Linked DNA regions of Drosophila melanogaster. The protein of the gene in region 1 interacts with the protein of each later gene in a pairwise test. Each region holds a gene or a part of one and is shown in the gene's direction. Other genes may lie near its edges. The genes, in order: CG14744, CG13806, Tengl3 and Lip3.

Region 1 (6,024 bases):
TCCTCTTCAGCGAGTTCCTCCAAGCCATCAATCCGATCGACTCAGAGGGATGGTACCTCAGTGGTACCTGTGCACGCATTTTGCAAATCCTCAAGGCCCCGGTCACGCTAATGCTCCATTTGGTGGTTCCATTGGTGGACTACCAGCTGGTCAAGCACGGTTGGAGCAAGATGCTCAACTGTTTACAGATCGTACTAACTCCATTCGTGATCTTCGCACTAGTTGAGAGTACGTAGGCGCAGAAAAATAGGCAATGAGTTGATGCTTACTTAACTGTACTCAAATACATTATACCTACATAGCTTATATTTTAGTTAATGTATTCCTATTTATTTAAATTTAAAATAATTTAATTCTAAATTCATGTTATTTTACCATCCCCTAGCTATGCTGGTGCACAAATACGCGGAATGGTATTACGTTCCTCAATTCCGGATGGCAATATGGTCACTACTGGTAACGATGCCCCTGGCAATAGTTGTATTCTTGCACTCTCGCACTGACATCCCGCCATTTTATCACTCGGTAAGATCGATTTCTTTAGAGAAAGCAATAAATTACCCTTAAACTTCGACAGTCTTACTGCGCGCTTACAATCTCCACCGTGATTATATTCTTTTGGATTTGTGCCTGGGAAATGGATGCGCTGATATCCATAATTGGGGTCGTCTTTGATCTGGCCCCGTCCTACATGAGCATCACCTTCAACTCGGTGTCCGCTGCCACAGCTGACTTAATAGCCTACGCACATCTCGCCAAGCATGGATACGGAAAGATGGCTTTTGGAGCCATCATCGGTGGTTCTGTTTATAGTTAGTGGTAAAAGTCGATAATTGCGTGCTAGACTATCCAATGTCAATTTTCAGCATCTAAAATTGTTTTCAAATCTCAGAAAACCAGTTTCTCTAGGAATCATGCTCATCAATCATCAATCAATGATTTGGCTTCTGCTTTAAGGTCATTGTAGAGGTCATAAGTAAAACAGTCTTTTCCCGCAGGTTTGGCAGTCAATGTGGGCATCGAATTGGTCTTACAGAAGAAACTCAACTCCCGCGGTCAAGTAGTCTTGTATGGAGATGACGGTGTAACCATCTACATATTCCTGGTGATAACCATCACAACCACCTTGTGGTGGTGCCTCACCTTCAACTTTGTTGCCCGCCGATCCGCTGGGCTGTTCATGTGGTCCCTATTCGTGTTGTTCCTAGTTTACACTACGGCCATAGAGTTGCAGTGGGTCCATGGCTTCCAAGACAATATTCAGATTCGCCCGACTGCCTAATAAACCAATGTATTGCCAAGACAAAAAACACGATTATGGTGCGTTTAACTTTATTTAGCGTGGTTTGTGTCAAGGACCTAGCCAGACCAGTGGGACCAGCCGCGGATCTCGTTCCAGATGTGGGTGCCGGGGCATTCGGTGGCGCTGACCTGGCGATGACCGTACAGGATGTAGCCGGAGCTGAGCTGGCCACGGTTGACGGCGTCGTTGAGCAGCTGCTGGGCGGCGGAGATCATGTTCGGCTCCAGGGTGTCCCAGTTGTAGTTGCCCAGGAAGCTGATGCCGATGCTGTAGGGGTTCCACTCGGCGGCGTGGGCGCCCATGTTGTTCCAGCCACGCCCCTCGTACACGTTGCCGTCTCCGCCGATCAGGAAGTTGTAGCCGATGTCGGGCCAGCCCAGGGAGTCCATGTGGTAGTTCTGGACGCTCTGCAGCACGGCGTTGCACTGGGCACGGGTCTCGCAGTAGGAGCCGGCGGTGTGGTGGATGATGGCGTAGCTGAGGTAGTTGCCCAGGCCTACGGTCCATTTGGCGCCGCGACCACCCCACTCCGCCTTGGAGACGACATAGACGCCCTGGGCCATGTACTGGCTGCAGACCAGGACGGCGAGGAGGAGAGCCACTTTGGAAACCATGATTACCAGCTGTAATAGTTGACGATCGCTTGATGGAGATCGTGGGTCGCCGTGGCGCTTATATAGCATCAGTTATGCGTATGGGTTGCCATCTTATCTGGTGGTTCATGGCTAATTTACAGCCCTCGTCGATGGCACATGTTTAGGTTCGTATTAGGGGAAGACCCTTGGCGTGAGCCTCGTCACAATCGCAATCTTCGGGTGTTGATTTATTCAGCGTTTTATGAATGTGGTTCTTCTAAATAAATGCTTTATCAATGTGCTGGGGTCGACACATTGGCCGGTCACCTGAATGTCTTTGTAGAAAAAGTCAAGGAGTGTTGTTCGATTCTCGTCAGTTCTAAATTTAATTCTCAGCATATTCTTTTGACTTTGAGGGAAGAATTTGAATACAATGAGTGGGCGAACGAAAAGGACTAAATTTAACATAACAGAACTGGACCACGAATTTCACTACTTCATCAAGAATGTAAGATATTGTGAGAATACAGTGAGAAATTGGTGGCCATAGCATTTGTTGGCTCTTACAGATGAGTTGTAGGGCCGTGATGAGACTTCCGTACAACTATCGCTGCAGGATGGCCACCCAAGTGAGTGACTGCAAGCGCATTATAAACTTTTTCAATTACTTCAGGATGATGTACTGCTCAATTGACATCGATGACAAAGCAACAGAGGTCCTGTTCATGTTGCTGTTTGCCTTCATATGTGTGGCGTTTCTGTGGCTGATGTCCTTCAATATTGGTACCTAGTAAGTTTTTGGATAAAGTGCACATTCCTCTGATTGCTCATTCGAAATCCTGCATTAAGTTTTTCTCCAGTCCTCAAGATCATCTCGCTAAAGCTGCACATGAATGAGTACCTGGCAGGAGTTACCTTTCTGGCTTTTGGTAACTGCAGTCCAGAAATAATAGCTAATCTGATGCCCGTGAGGGCCGATGCACCCATCTTTACCATAACTGTGGGTAATACTCTGGCCATCATTCTGCTGAGTGGAGGTACAGTGTGTTTTCTGAGACCCTTTAGGATGAACGGACATTCCACTCTGCGAGATCTACTGTTTCTTCTCCTGGGTGTGGAGGTCCTGAGGTTTGTGATGATCAAGGAGGGAGCAGTGACCCTGGGAGAGGGTATAGGTAGGAATCTATTTTGGATTTGCCTCAACTCACTGATCTTTAAAACCTACTTTCAGTGCTCTTCTTAATTTACGTTGTTTACGTGGCTATTAATATAGCTGATTTGGCGTTGCTGCGGTACTACATCAGAAGTAAGGAATATTCCCCCAATTTTTTAATTACTCTAGTTATAATAGCAACTAATTACATTTACCATTCAGAACTTCGAAGAGAACTGGACTATTTGGAGGGCCTAACTCCTCCACCAATAACAGAAATAAATGCAAAGATAAGAAAGCTAATATCTTGGGAAGAGCAGGATGACATTGGGATTAAGGACACCACAAAGTACCGTCGGTCCAGAGACACGGGAAACCACTTCTCAAATATGACCAGTAGTGGCTACTTTGTAACCCCCATCCCAGAAAGACGATCCGAACACGTTGACTACGAGTTAAATCGCACAGCGCTCCATGACTCGGAGAATCCTAAAAACCTACAACTTTTCACGGAGTTCTTCCAGTCTCTCAATCCCGTTGATGCAGAGGCGTGGCAGCTGGGTGGGTGGAGCAATCGAATATACCTGATTGCCAGGTGCCCCCTGGTGTTCGTACTGCAGCTCTTCATACCCGTGGTGGACTACGAAAAGATCAAGCACGGCTGGAGTAAGCTGCTCAACTGCACGCAGATCGTGACGAATCCTTTCGTGGTCATTACCCTGGTGCACTGTAGGTATGCGGGAGTACATCAGAAGTGCATTTGATTCCTAAACCTCGCTGACCCTCAGCTGGGGTGTCCAGCGTCTACAAAACCTGGCACATAACCCTCGACTTCAGCATCTCCATGTGGTCGCCGTGCCTTACAGTCCCGCTAGCCATTGTGATCTTCCTGCACTCTCGAACGGATGTGCCGCCCAGCTATCACCACGTAAGAAGATCCAAAGCAGCACCACTGCGTGCTGATTAGACTCGAATGGGTATCAACCTTCCTTCCTAGCTGTTTATTATCCTCACGTTTTTCAGTTCCATGGTGACGCTCTGGCTCGCCGTCACAGAACTGGAAGTGCTCTCCGAGATTGTGGGCATCGTATTCAATCTGTCCGAGAGCTTCATGGCGGTCACCTTTGAGGCTGTCTCCAATGCCACTCCGGACATTATAGCCAATTACCAGCTGGCCTTGCAGGGCTATGGGCGGATGGCCTTCGCCGCCATAATAGGAGGTCCAGTTTTTGGTAAGCAAAAGTTATATTTTCCATTAATGGTTACCTGATGTATTCGATATTTCAGCGATTTTGGTTAGCATGAGCTTGGCCTTTATATTCAATCACAGAGTACGTGAAGTGGGCGCCAATTCGTGGGTGTACGGCGATCTGGGCGACAACTGCTACCTCTTTCTGGTAATAACCATTGTGACCACAATGTGGTGGAGCGTCACCTTCGATTTCCACGCTCGTAGATCCGCTGGAGTTTTCCTGTGGCTCGTTTACTTGCAGTTCCTCTTATATGCGGTCTGTGTGGAGTGGGATGTTGTTCATGAATTTTCCAGAGATCAGCACTTTAAGCCAATATGATTTGGAATATACATATGGTCTTGATATGAGATATGTTATTAAAAATGAAACAAGTGAAGGAAGCTCCTTAACCAGCATAGCTCCTTTCAATAATATTTAATCACGTATCGTTTACACTAAGTATATTTCATGGATTTATCTCAGCTTTGATCTGATCCCTGGTACTGCCAAATATGATTGCTTTGAAAATATACCAGCATAATTGGGATTTTGCGTCAGCAAAGGTACTGACTAATTAAGTGAATGAAGAGGAAATGCTTTCGAAAGGCGTCGGCAAAAGGCGAAACACTGACAGAGGTCCATTGAAATGCAGAAGGAGACTCCCTTGGCAATCTGTCCTGCCCCGACGCTCCACTTCTCCCTGCATTTTTCCACAGAATAAAAGCGTATTGCATAATGAAGGGAAACTGATGGCAACGAAACGATGGGGAAAGCTCCGTGTTAATTACGGTTAAAGTGTCTGGAGGAGGTTGGTGTCCCGTCAACTTTCATGGGACGGACGAGTGATTTGTGCGCCAAAGATACTCCAACTGATACTTCAGCTTTGTAGATAAACAAAGACAATCGATCAGAGAATGTTTTAACGGAGTGCAAAGATATTACTGCCAAATATATTCCTAGCTTAAACTTTAAAGTTATTTAACAAATATAGACTACTTGGATTTGTACAATAGTTGATGCCCAAGGTTGGGAAAATGTGAATATTTTTTTTGGAGTTTTCAAAGTTTACCCTGCACCGGAAGATATCTAAAGCATTCTTTCGATGCTTCGCCGGAGCAGTATTAATATCGACTGCAGATGTAGATTCCACTTGATTCCGGCCATTATGGCAACTGCAGCTGAAACATAACCATTGGATTTAAGTACAATTGCATAAACAAGAGCTGCTGGCTCAAGTGTAGGGAAAAAGACAAGGCGAAAGCCAACTTGCAGCTTCAACTACCAAGGCAAATGGCACGCAGAATTCCGGCAGCAATAAAAGCACTCAACTTCCTTCAGACTTCCCGTCTATCTGTCCATCCGTCCATCAGTCCGTCCGCCAGAACCTCTATCTGTGCACTTAATGTGACATGTTTTTGCAACAGCTTTGGTTTCTCCCCTCGCCGCCACTCGCCACTCGAGATTCCGAATCGTATTCCGATTCACCCAGCTTGGAAGGGCTCCGTGGCCATGAGATTTGATGCATTTTGCTTGTTACCAAATTGTTTTGCATTCTCCTTCACGTTCTTACATAGCCTCGCAGTCCCGAATCGAATGCAAAAACGGCAAAACGGAAGGAGAAGTCCTTTTTCTGTGCTATTGGCTTGATTCTGGCATGATTCGGTGTGAAAGTCATCAAATATTTAAAACCCAAGTGCGGAATCGCACCCAGATTGCTAGAGATGGTTTATGCAAGACGGGAAATTGATTTCAAATGATGTG
Region 2 (4,136 bases), on another chromosome or scaffold:
ACGAAAGTACACCTTGGCCTTGTTCAGCAGCTCCTGGTACTCGGCACTGCCCTCGATGTTGTCCCGGAAGTAGCCCTTGCTCAGCAAGCTCCGCAGATACGATCGCCAGGCAGGAAGGTCCTCCAGCTGTTGGCCCTCAACCCGCTTGGCTTGAGTGGCCAGGATCTCCAGTCCACTGGCCAGCTTCAAGCCCAATAGTTGTTCCTTATATCGTTCCGGCTCGGATACAGGATCCGTGAGATGCCAGCCGAGTCTCTTCTCGGGCAGATACTGCTGGTGCGACAACATGGCGTACAGACAGCGGGTGAAACGCACGTTGGTGCGCACGCGTGTGGCCTCCGGTGGGAAATATCGCATGGTGCGAAGTGCCTTGATGTCCAGCGAGTCCCGCTCGCAGAAAGCCCTAACCGCCGAGGAGAGCAGCCTTGGCTTCTGTTTCAGAAGCTGTGCAGCGCTATGCGGGAGCTCCAGCACCTGGCGATGAATGGAGAAGTGCGGCTGAGCGATCTGGTACTCCTTAAGCCGCGCGTCAATGCACGACTGTATCTCCTGCGAGCAGCGGTACAGGGTGGGATTCATTCGTATACGTTGCACAGCCATGGCCATGGTCAGTGGCTTGTCCTGGCTGCTGGCGGCGGAGTTCTGGAGAAGCTGCAGGTGACCACCGACCAGATAAACGCGCTGCTCGCACGTTTCCGGAGACGCCCAGTCGGGCAGGGCGTCCGCCGCCTCGATGAGCAGGAACTCGCCATCCGAATCGCTCACCCGTGCAATGCAGTCGCCGCGTGCACGTGTGATCTCCGTGAGCAGATAGACAACGAACCACTCGTCGCTGATGTTGTCGCCATAGTGGGTTACGCCGTGGAAGTGCGGTGGGAGGTCGCCTGGGCGGGGACATGGAAATGGATGATTTCGAATTGCAGAAACAAAGCTATTTATAGCACATTGTGCGCATACCCAGTTCCGCCTCCTCCTCCGGGTTTGTCTCCTCGTTCAGCAGGCGCTCCTCGGCGCCGCCCAGCCTCACCTGAAGCTGAAACTCGTCCTTGTGCCACAGATAGCTGCGCTCTAAGGACTTTTCCCTTACAATGGCCGAGATCTCGTTGCGGATCTGAAGCATCAGTTTGCGCAGCGCGCCCTCATCCTGTACGTTGTCGGGGATCTTGGGAAAGATGTAGTACTCCACGAAGTCCTCCTCGCGGACGAACTCCAGATTGCTGCCTGGAATCTTGCTCATCCTTTGTCCTTTTGCTCCTCCTCCTTTTTTTTATTTGTTAGGGCGTTCGAGGTGACACTATCGACATGAGTGCGTGCTTCCGAACTGACTATCGTTCAAAGAAGTTCGTTCACACTGGTCGCGCAGCAGGGTTCCGCTTCAGCAGAGCGGTGGAGGACGTGGCTAAGCGCTTAGCGGTGACCCAACCCATTCCCGTTATTTCTCTCAGCGATTTTTTATGATTGAAGATTAGGTATGAACCGAAGATTAGGCATTAAATTCCTTTACTAAAAGTGCATATTTACAAAAGCTAGCGGTCAGTTTTATTGAAAGAAATGGTATTTAAATATTTACTCGAGAGCACTTTAAAGTGCTCTGAATAAGTCGGCCAAACAAAATCCCGACTTGTTTACACATTAAACACCCACTCCACTTGACACTCCAGCTAGTTGGACCAATTTTTAGTAAATGTCGTTCACTCACCCATCATTGCGGCATTCCGATCCGCGTAGTTGTTGTAATTAGAAACGCCGCTGCGTTTGCCACTTTGCCCAACTCCCATCGCCTTTTCAAAGTTGATAGATAGACAAACAGACACCCAAAAGATATAAAACGCTATCTAAAGTCTGCTATTTCGGGACTTTTATTGCTGTCACCATATGAGTCTGAATCAGACAATCGAAGATTCTCGTGGAAGTTGGACCTAAACTAACCAGAAACAAAGTCCAAAAGGGGAAATACATCGTCATGTTCTTGGAAAGAATACTAGTGAGCGTGGTAGGTAGTTTTTCAGAATAGGATAAACTTAAGTGAATGGCATTTGATTTTTATGTCCCCACCGCCCAACAGTTACTGCTCAACCTGGTGGCTCTGCTTATGGGAGCCACTGTTACCACCCGGCGCATCCAGCCGCGGGAGACAAACTCCTGCGAGGGCCGTCAGAGTCCCGGGCCCATCTGCGAGTCCTGCGAGCTGCTGGCCACCTGCGTGCGTCACTCCAACGGATGGGTGAACATTCCCGTGGAATCGTGCGACGTGGCTAATGGATACTACTGCAACGCCCGGCTGGGGAGCTGCACCAACGAGACGGGCCCGTGTCATCCGTTCGGCATCGAGGGCAACTTTCAGTGCACCTCGCAAGGCATCTTTCCAGATCCGTACGACTGCCAGAAGTACCACATGTGCTACTTCGTGGGGGCCACTCTGGTGGCTGCTGCCGTTGATTGCGGCAACGACAAGGCCTTCGATGCGACGACTGGCCAGTGCACTTTGACCCTGACTGACTCCGTCTGCCTGCAGCGACAGTACTACTGCCCCAATGCCGGACACGTGGCCGCCTGGCCCACCAATCCCAATATCTTCTACGTGTGCAAGTCGACGGTTAACCAGAACCTGAACGACACCATCGTCATCTACCCCTCGCTGCACAGGTGCAACGATGGCGAGACCTTCGTGGACTACGTCTGCCGCAGCGGATCGAATGTCCTGCCGCCCAGCACCGATGATCCTTCGGTGATCATCGAGGATCCCAACGACGACGACTTTTCGGTGCTGCCCAACACCTGTCAGCACGTGGGCTTGATGGCCGATGGAAACGACTGCCGGAAGTACTACTACTGCTCGGCTCTAAATGGCACCCTGCGGCACATGGACTGCCCCAATGGGACTTACTACCGACCGGAGCTATCCTCCTGCGTCCTGGGAAGCTGCTGAGGAAGATGCATTCCTGCACTTTATTTATTCCTCTTCAATGGATTACATTTAATAAACAACTCATGTTTACCCTGGAATAACAATCTATTTGACATGAATTTATGAATTCCCATTTCAAAAGGTATCAGTTTGATAATAAAGATTCAACCACCATGTCCGTGGGTAATTAAACCAGAATGAGTTCTTTGTTTTTTTCCAATAAAAGTGCAATAGAAATGGACTAGTACTGTCTTGGTTCTTTCTTGCTAAGAGTGCTGTGACTAGGTCATAAATGTTCCATAGAATGTTTTTTTCGTGACAACATTGCAGTTTATCTATTAATTATACCGAAACATTCTGCGTTTGGTTGTGAGGTACTATATAAGGCGGAGTGTGAAGAGGTCTACTTAGAAAGTTTGCAACATGGATTCATCTCGCCTGATTATCTGCCTCCTAACTTTTCTGTTGTTTCAAACGGGAAAAGGGTTGGGGAACGGCAGTTATCTGGAGCTCAGATTGGATGCAGCTGCTGAATCCTGTCCAGATGATTACTACTTTAACGAAACTATCCAAGCCTGCGTATCTACAGACACTACCAGCTGTACCAATCACCAAATCGGCAAATGTCCGATGGCCACAGAAATGGACGAGTTTTGCGTGTGCAAAGATAAGCACCTTCAGATCTGGAAATGCCCTGAAGGAACCTACTTCGATGCCAACCGATTGGTCTGCCGGGTGGGAAGCGTTGAGTGCCAGGACGATTATACTCCATCCCCATGTCCTAACAGCACGGCAAGCGATGTCTTCTGCCTCTGCATCGATGGCAAATGGCATCTTAACTACTGTCCAACGGGCTTTACCTTTGATGACGAGCTGCAGATTTGCCTGAACACAGGATCTGATGACGACGAGTTGCCCAGTTCGTCTGGAAAGTGCCAGCGGCTTGGATTGTTTGGTGATCCCGCTGACTGCTCTGGGTACTATCATTGTCGCGAAAAGGGCAGTGATATTGAGTATTTCAGATGCTCGGTAGGAACCATCTTCAATCTAATTTCCTTTGCGTGCGTTACTGGAACTTGTTGACCCAACATATTATAGTTATTGTAGCTAGCCTATCTTGGAATAAAACTGATTAAAACTGATTAAACTATTTTCAATGAATTCCGGATTTATCAGTTCGCAGTTTCGATGATACTCTTCGAATAATTACAATTTTAGCTACGCTTAG
Region 3 (4,012 bases), on another chromosome or scaffold:
CAGGGTATTTTTCCTGTCCAACATTAGGCCCTTTCTAAACAGAGGGTTCAATCTCACTGTCTGGGATCGACTGCTGCAGTACGTCCATGAGATGAGTCAACGACATGGAACCGTGTATGCCTACACCGGATCAATTTACTTGCCCCGGGAGCTAAAGTCGAACAGTTGGTTCCTGGAGTTCCAGTCGGAGGAGAGAACCATGGTGGCCGTACCCACCCATTTCTTCAAGATCCTGGTCATTGATAAGAAGTTCGCGGGCGATACCATTCCCTATGCGGAGGCCTATGTGATGCCCAACTCTCCGCTGAACAACAATGTCGAACTGAAGACGCTTCTCAGCGATGTCCGGGAAATAGAAAACGCTACTGGTCTACGGTTCTTTGAAGGACTCGACCGCAACTTTGTCAACACCCAAGCATCAAATTCATTTGTCCCCTCAGTAAACGGTCCTTTAACAAATCCGTTAACGTTGCCGATGACTAATGCCTTAGACAGTCACAGTGCCCTCACATCAAGTATTTCTCCAAAATAGAATATAAATACATATATGTTGAAGGAGACAATGATGGCCATGAGAAATCCTTCAGATAAACAATGTTTTATTTGCTTTTGAGGGGTAATTCACAGAGCCCATTTCATGGACCGAAAATGGCAGCTCCTGGGACTGGGTTTCGTCCTGGGAGTGACTGCGCTCTGTGCATCCTTCGTGGGTGGAATGTATTTTCAGCACACAGATGCCAGAAAACGCCTGCGGGAACTAATACAAACGGATCCCTATGCCTACTATCTCAGTCCCAAAATTTATGAAGTGGTAACCAATACTGTAGTAAAAGAATATAAGTAACACTTGCACCAAAATAATTTCCCTAACCAGTTTACTTTCTTTGAGAGCAATAATGAAGACGATCACCGGATGAGGCAGATCATGAAGTTTGGGTTCCCTGGCCTGGATGACTTGCGTCTGTATAGTGACTTCGTACTATCCTACGATCGCCGAAACCGAGTGGCCCACTGGGTGTGCGAGCACCTCCAGGCGGACAGCATACATCCGAATCGAGGCAGACGTGGTCGCAACCCATACCAGCCGGATTTGAGTGTTCCCTCCAACTTCCGATCGGAACTGAGCGACTATCGGAGATCTGGATTCGACCGAGGACACTTGGCAGCCGCAGGAAATCACCATCTGCAACAGAATCACTGCGAGGATACGTTTTTCCTAACGAATATTGCCCCACAAGTGGGCCAGGGCTTCAACCGAAGCGCGTGGAACAACTTGGAACAATATGTTCGAAATCTGGTCCACCGATTTGGATCCGTTTTCGTGTGTACTGGTCCACTATATAAGCCCAATCAAAGACCGGGAGGTAAGTGGGCCGTGGAGTACGAGATGATCGGACTGAATATGGTTGCAGTTCCGACGCACTTCTTCAAGGTGATCATGGTGGAATCAAAACTGCACCTGGGTAAACCCTATATGGAGGGCTATGTCCTGCCCAATGCTCCAATACCAGATGGTCTGCCACTACGATCGTTTCTCTGCGACATCCGGGAGATTGAGCACTACGCAGGTCTCAAGTTCTTCGATGGTTTGAGAAGGAGTGCCCTATTCGGCAGCAATTATCCAAGTGAATCTCGAGTTTTTCGCGAATTCAGTTAGTGGAGGGATCCCAATCGTTAAATATATATTTAACTTAACTGCAAGCAGGCTATCTTCTTCCGACTGACATATCGACAAATTGTTACATTACACACTTCATCAAAGAAACACTACACGAAATTATTGTAAGGCCCACTTATGTCCTTTAGCGAATCAAATGTTCATCAGTGGGCTTTATGTGCCCTTGCGGGAGTAACCGGGTTTGTGTGTGGAGCCTTTGTCCAACAAGAGGCGTCCATAAGGCAGCTGCTCCAGCAGATTCGAAGGGATCCCTATGTCTACCATCATCGTCACAAGTTATATCCGATGGTGAGCGATATGAAAAAGTTAGAAATGTTTGTAAGATTTTAATTCTAATATTTTCCCACAAGTTATCCACCTTTGGGACAGACCATGAGGCCCGTTTGTGGAATCGTCCTACTTCATGGGCCGACAAATTCAGGGAGCTGGTATTATCACCGATCCTCGATTTAGTTAGTGCTACTGTGACGCTGAAATGGGATTCGGCAACCACAACTGATCTGCTCGACCTAGTCAAGTATGGACTGCCCAGCACGGAGAACTTGTACGTCCATAAGGACTACGTGGTTTCGCAGGACCTGCGCACGAACGGCGTCAGATGGATTTGTGAGCATTTCCGTGGGGATTATCAAAGGGTATCGTCGGATGGAGGCGGATATAGCACCATGAATCTTCGCTACAATGATGTGTATGTGCTGAGCTGCGGTTCGATGAGCATATGCAAGGCGTTCAAGCGGAAAATCTGGAACGATCTGGAGAACTACGTGTCCAGCATGGCCAAGGAGTTTGGCTCAGTGTACGCCTACACTGGGCCGATATACACCCCAACATGTTACGAGATTGGCAAATGGACCATGAAGTATGAGGTGTTTGACTGGATTCCGATACCAGTGCCATCCCATTTCTTTAAGGTATTAATCGTGGAGAGTGGAGTTCCGGGATCCCAACCCTTCATGGAAGCATTTATCATCGAAAACAGCCGAAGGGTTGGCGGCAAGTTGAATGACCACCGCGTCAAAGTAGGCGAAATAGAGCGTTACACAGGACTGCGATTTAACAAGATCATGCAACCCGTAGTCCAATTCGGGAAGGACTCATTTACGGTGGACACCAGGGCTTGGGCCGGCAGGTTGGAGGAAATTTCTGAGCCTTTGGTAACATTTCCTCCCGACCAGAAATTAAATTTAATATAAACCCCTGAATGTAAGGAATATTTTGATAAAATTGTGAAAATATACATATTTATTTTAAATGTACTTTGATTATATCTTATTCACTTATTTATTTTAACCCAACGTATTTAATGACGTCACTGCATTCTATTGCACCACCTTACACATAACATAACTCGCAGCTGTTCGCTAACAGCAGCGCTGTTAAGTTCAACACGATTATCGATTCGGCGATGGCAGCCGAAAGAGCACAATCGATTGACATTCGATTTTCCACTGCCGATTACCGATAGCTTACGTGGCAAGGCAAAAAGAGCAAAAAAGATCGAATTAGGGAACTGACGTGGAAGTTCGTTTAGCTCGAAATTATTCTTGTTTTTCAACCAGCGATCGTCCGCCGCGGCCGTCGAGAGTTGAGGCCAACACCGAGTGGCCAAAATCGAGGAGTCAGTGGTCAGGAATCAGGCCGAGCAGCCCCCGAAATTGCTAAATCGCCGTGGCGAACTTTGAGCCAATCCGTGTGTGTTTTCTCTTCGTTTTCCGTGAAAGTTGTTTGTTGGCTTAGCGTCGACCCTCTCCGCTAAAACCCAGGTGATTAATCCGGGCCAGAAATGAATCCGAATATGTACGGGCCACCGCCCACGCAGTTCCAGCAGCAACCCCAGTTTGGGGCTCCTCCTCCGAATTCCGGAGGTTGGCCACCGCAGCAACAACAACTACCGCAGCAGCAGCCGCCGCAGCAACAACTGCCTCCGCAGCAGCAGCAACAACAACCACAGTACGGAGCACCACCACCAACGTCGGCGGCATCCCAGCCTTACCTCAATGGCAACTACCAGCAGCAGGTGAATAGATAGCCTTAACCATGGCAGCTTTGACGAGAATCGGAAGACAATCCGGTTGCACACGTCAAATATATGTGTATTCCCTTCAGCTTCATTCTGGCAATAGCCTATTGAGCTAGTCGATAATAAGAATAGGGTTAGAATCTGAAAAGCATTGCAGAATTACGTTACTCTTTTGAACCAATTGGCCACCTTGATATACAGATATTCAATGGGAAGTATCTCAATGACGCACAGGAATACCTAAACCAAGACAGTATTTTTAAGTTTAGAAATTTCGGCTGCGAGCACTTCATTCAGTAAAAGAGGTCATCCGT
Region 4 (4,743 bases), on another chromosome or scaffold:
TACACGCCCCTAGCCAATAAAGACACATTGGGCGGCCATCTCAGATTAATAGAAACCCCTATAAATATATATATGTTAACCCGCATAATTCGCATCAGCTAAATGGCAAGCATATACCCACTGATCGGCGCTACTCTGGGGAGGCGCTCTCTCGGATCTTCGATCCAACTCGACCTAATTAAGTTCATCCGATCGATTGGCACCTTTCACCTTCGTTTACGGATTAGCCTACGTGTAATATAGCAAAAGATACTCAAGTGATATTTTGTGGTCAGGTGGAGTCGGCGGCAGATGCAGGTATCACCAAACCAAATCAAAAAAACTAAAGACACAACTGATGAGAGAGACTTGCGCCCCTTTGAGCTTTTAAAATTAATATAGACTATCTATATGTATATGTCCATATGTCCATATGTCGATATGCATACGAATTGGCGCACTTGCTTATATTTGATATGAGTTTGTTAGTTAGATACATTCCGAGGTTGAGATGTCGAGGTCGCTGGCAAAATCGATGGGCCACCAGAAACGACCGATTTGAAGCAGGAAAGGGCTCTGAGTCCGCCTATATCAGTAGCTAATATGGATATAACTTGTAACCGCTCCACAGACGAGCGACTTTCGTGAATAGTTATTATTCTATTTGTTGTCCCCCTCCCTGAATAATTGAGCGTTACAGGCATTATTGATGGATTGGTTAAACGATTGATTGTGTTGCGAGTTACATATACGATATGCAAGTAAGAACTAGAACCTGTATCAACAAATTATCGATTATACACTCAATATACATAAATATATATATATATATATAAAACATGCGAATCAATTTATTTAACTATTGCTCCTTTTTTGGCTCTGAAGTCTCTGGCTTGTCGAGCAACTGGTTGATTCGTTCTTCAGTCAGCGGCTCCTTACTGTTGAACAGTTTCTCGATCTCGTCCCTCTCTTCCTCGCTAATATCCTTGGCATAGATTTTGGCCAGATCCTCCAGGCGCTGCTGGTTCTTCTTCAGATGTCCAGGTAGCCAGAAAATGGTCTGCACCATTCTATAAGAAATAATTGGTACTATAAGGTGCCAGGTATTATGATCACATTACAAATTTGTACATTGCGCATTAAGTATTGAGTATTGAATAGTTTAGTAAATGTCCTTACTTAAGAAGTACAAATCCGCAAATGGCCAGTAAAAGACACAATCCCGATGTCTTAAACATGGTCCAATAGTCCACCGTAACTTGTTGGTGTTTCATTTTGGAAATCCTTTGAAAATGAGCTCCACTCTAGACTGAATTATGGCTTGAACTGTCATAAGTGCGATATGGTAATATGCCTTCGGGCCAAGAATGCCAATGTTATGGTCACGTCGTCAGGGGCAGCCGGCTCGGGAGATACGTGTATTATACACCATCGGCAGACCAATCATGTGTGGCCTCTATAAATCGATATCACACAAGCCCTGATTTTGATGACCAGGCTACAAAGTCGGGCTAAAGTGCTAACTGGGCCGCATAAGGATTAATGTGCGCACATGTTGCTGCTGCATAAGTGCTGCATGTTGCCGACGACACTAGCAACATGTTGCTGGCGTGATTCAGGCATTTTATTGTTTTCATTTGCAATCGGATTTTCTATATTTAACAATTATCTTCAACGAATTACGTATTTGCAAATAATAATAAAAATTATATGCCTTATTAAAAAGATCGAGCTGCAGAATACCCTCTTCTCAATTTTTAATGTGCCCGAATTTAAGGGTAGCCTATTGTTATTAATGTTTTAGTATAATTTTTTTTTTTTATAAATTTCCATTGGTGATATAATAAAAGGTCTCTTAAAAGGCAAATGTCTTGAAATAAATGGAAATTTTATATGCTTGACTTTTTAAAGTAAGGGGTACCAAAATAATTGAAAATCGATAAGAAAATCCGTCGTTTTGGCGGGGTGTTTGGGTTTCTTTAGATTGTAAATTTGAGACCCGCGATTTCAATCTAAACAAGAAGCTGATTAGGCCAGGTGTATCTAACTCTCATATATATTTAACTGATTTCTTGGGGGTCTTCGTACGCGTTTGCCAATAAATCTGATTGTTTGTGACTATCAATGGATAGATAGTGGTCAAGGGGCTATAAAAGCTGTGATCCCGAACCACACGGATCATAGTACTGCGATGACAAGAGGAGCGTTAAAAGTGACCATTTTACTGGTCGGATTGGGCCTGGTTTTGGCCGGATCTCGGCCTATTTCTGATTGCGTAAGTAAAAATTTAAGAGTTTGAAAACAATTTAATATTACATATTTGTTATTTATTATTTGGTTTTTCTTTTGACAGAGTGAAACCATTTAATTGCTTTTTATTTACAAATTAAAATTAATTAAAAATAAGCATACATTTAATTGTTTTGTAGGGTGAGCGCATTGAAGACGATGGCTACCCGATGGAGCGCCACGAGGTGGTCACCAGTGACAACTACATCCTGACTATGCACCGCATCCCGTATTCCCCCAAAACGGGTGAATCTTCCAACCGACCGGTGGCCTTCCTCATGCACGGCATGCTGAGTTCTTCCTCCGATTGGGTGCTCATGGGTCCAGAGCGATCCCTGGCCTATATGCTGGCCGATGCCGGCTACGATGTGTGGATGGGCAATGCCCGAGGCAACACCTACTCCAAGGCGCACAAGTACTGGCCCACTTACTGGCAGATCTTCTGGAACTTCAGCTGGAACGAGATCGGCATGTACGACGTTCCGGCGATGATTGATTATGTCTTGGCAAAGACTGGACAGCAGCAGGTGCAATATGTGGGCCACTCCCAGGGTACCACTGTCTATCTGGTGATGGTGTCGGAGAGACCCGAGTACAATGACAAGATCAAGTCCGCCCATCTTCTGGGACCAGCCGCCTATATGGGCAACATGAAGAGCCCCTTGACCCGCGCCTTTGCACCCATTTTGGGCCAGCCCAATGCCATCGTGGAGGTCTGCGGATCCATGGAGTTCATGCCCAGCAATAAGTTCAAGCAGGATTTGGGCATAGAGATGTGCCAGGCCACTTCTCCTTATGCCGACATGTGCGCCAACGAGATCTTCCTGATTGGAGGCTATGATACCGAACAGCTGGACTACGTAAGTATCTGGAAATGAACTTGGTCCTATAAATTATATTTCCATGTAACTTATAATGCTGCTCTCCATTTGGTCAGGAACTCCTTGAGCACATCAAGGCCACGTCTCCGGCTGGCGCATCGGTGAACCAGAACTTGCACTTTTGTCAGGAATATAACTCTGGAAAGTTCCGTAAATTCGACTACACCGCTCTCCGTAATCCCTATGAGTACGGCAGCTACTTCCCTCCGGATTACAAGCTAAAGAATGCCAAGGCCCCGGTTCTATTGTACTACGGAGCCAATGACTGGATGTGCGATGTGAGCGATGTCCGCAAGTTGAGAGACGAACTGCCCAACATGGCGCTGGACTACCTGGTGCCGTTCGAGAAGTGGGCCCATCTGGATTTCATTTGGGGCACTGAGGCCAGAAAATACGTCTACGACGAGGTCTTGAAGCAGATGCAATCCTACGAATAGATTTATTTTTCAGGCAATAAACGGAGCATTTGAGCTAGCAAATTTCGAGATTGATTAGTTCTCCTCCAACTCCAAATCCAGAACGTACGATAATATTTTAGTCTCTTCATTCTTGAGGGTATACTTTATGCGATAGAAGCCCGGACTCATCAGCTTTTTGAGCAACTTGACATTGAAGGGATAGTCCTCTAGTACATAGCGTTCCTTGGGCAGAGGACAGCTGCTGGGATGCGGGGCATTCGAGTATTCCTTGATCCGTTCGTAAAAGATATCCTTGTAGTAGCTCTTCATAAAGTCGCAAAGCTGCATTTCGAATGTCAAAACCTTCTCGTAGTCTCCATCGCTATCCGGGGATCTTGAAACCTTAAGCACAACCTGTTGAAGGAATAATAAATAATTAATTCCTCCACTATATATTATAAACTACGTACCGTCCAATCATTGTCGAGTCGTTGATTCAGATCGAGATATCCGCTGACTTTCAACTCATTTTCCTCGGACTCAGCGATACGCAGACGACTGCGCAGATATGAGGTATCCTCAGTCACCTTTTCTAATTTCTGGATCCTGAATGTCCTTTTAGCCTGGACTGTAATATTACTGGTTAGGACGATAATTGCCAAGACCGCCAGATAAGAGACGGGACATAAAGAGGAGCCCATTACGATACTTTGACGACTGATGGCTGATCATTCGTTGTCATTGGTATATAAGGATTTAGATAGATGATCGCTTGTACCGGAAACGAACTTGTTTCGGTTATTCCCAGAAATGGTTCATTGATATCAAAACGCGATCCCTTTGTTTTATTAAGCTATTGCACAGTTATATTTAATTGCCAACATCACGAAATATACGATTGAATTCACTTTAAGGACGGTACACCTATGAAATAATTATTACCCTTCATTTTCTTTTAACTGATTTAAAAAAAAAATCGAGCTGTTTTAAATTCTGAGCACCTTATTTTAATCCTTCTTACGTCTTGGGATAACATTATTAATTTTAATTTATTTGTTTATAGAAAAACAAAGACTATTTACATTTCGTAGAAACCGTTTGTCCTTTTTTTTATTTATTTATTGAATGGCCGATTTTACACATAAAGCAACAACAAACAAATGCTTAGCCATTGTTAACAAAATATTTATAATTAG

Evidence for each region.
Region 2: the proteins of CG14744 (region 1) and CG13806 interact in a two-hybrid assay, tested with the Drosophila melanogaster proteins (one large-scale study listed by BioGRID).
Region 3: the proteins of CG14744 (region 1) and Tengl3 interact in a two-hybrid assay, tested with the Drosophila melanogaster proteins (one large-scale study listed by BioGRID).
Region 4: the proteins of CG14744 (region 1) and Lip3 interact in a two-hybrid assay, tested with the Drosophila melanogaster proteins (one large-scale study listed by BioGRID).

Annotation. Positions count from the first base shown.
Region 1 is NT_033778.4:8,705,656-8,711,679, reverse strand, and holds CG14744 (uncharacterized protein), read left to right. Parts: upstream 1-2,193; 5' UTR 2,194-2,311; coding exon 2,312-2,386; intron 2,387-2,447; coding exon 2,448-2,668; intron 2,669-2,727; coding exon 2,728-3,053; intron 3,054-3,109; coding exon 3,110-3,184; intron 3,185-3,253; coding exon 3,254-3,760; coding exon of another isoform or gene 3,761-3,764; intron 3,765-3,819; coding exon 3,820-3,959; intron 3,960-4,028; coding exon 4,029-4,263; intron 4,264-4,318; coding exon 4,319-4,602; 3' UTR 4,603-5,292; downstream 5,293-6,024. Other genes in the region: CG14743 (uncharacterized protein), read left to right, coding at 1-228, 386-525, 578-812, 999-1,282; PGRP-SC1a (peptidoglycan recognition protein SC1a), read right to left, coding at 1,360-1,917.
Region 2 is NT_037436.4:2,264,539-2,268,674, forward strand, and holds CG13806 (uncharacterized protein), read left to right. Parts: upstream 1-1,855; 5' UTR 1,856-1,963; coding exon 1,964-1,993; intron 1,994-2,065; coding exon 2,066-2,929; 3' UTR 2,930-3,102; downstream 3,103-4,136. Other genes in the region: ecd (ecdysoneless), read right to left, coding at 1-884, 958-1,237; obst-I (obstructor-I), read left to right, coding at 3,332-3,991.
Region 3 is NT_033779.5:2,235,991-2,240,002, reverse strand, and holds Tengl3 (testis EndoG-Like 3), read left to right. Parts: upstream 1-1,751; 5' UTR 1,752-1,795; coding exon 1,796-1,966; intron 1,967-2,028; coding exon 2,029-2,871; 3' UTR 2,872-2,927; downstream 2,928-4,012. Other genes in the region: Tengl1 (testis EndoG-Like 1), read left to right, coding at 1-532; Tengl2 (testis EndoG-Like 2), read left to right, coding at 638-811, 875-1,657; Sec24CD (secretory 24CD), read left to right, coding at 3,462-3,695.
Region 4 is NT_033777.3:13,369,174-13,373,916, reverse strand, and holds Lip3 (lipase 3), read left to right. Parts: upstream 1-2,012; 5' UTR 2,013-2,170; coding exon 2,171-2,254; intron 2,255-2,408; coding exon 2,409-3,128; intron 3,129-3,205; coding exon 3,206-3,586; 3' UTR 3,587-3,640; downstream 3,641-4,743. Other genes in the region: CG9813 (uncharacterized protein), read left to right, coding at 1-20; CG34309 (uncharacterized protein), read right to left, coding at 839-1,049, 1,159-1,253; CheA87a (chemosensory protein A 87a), read right to left, coding at 3,641-3,961, 4,018-4,248.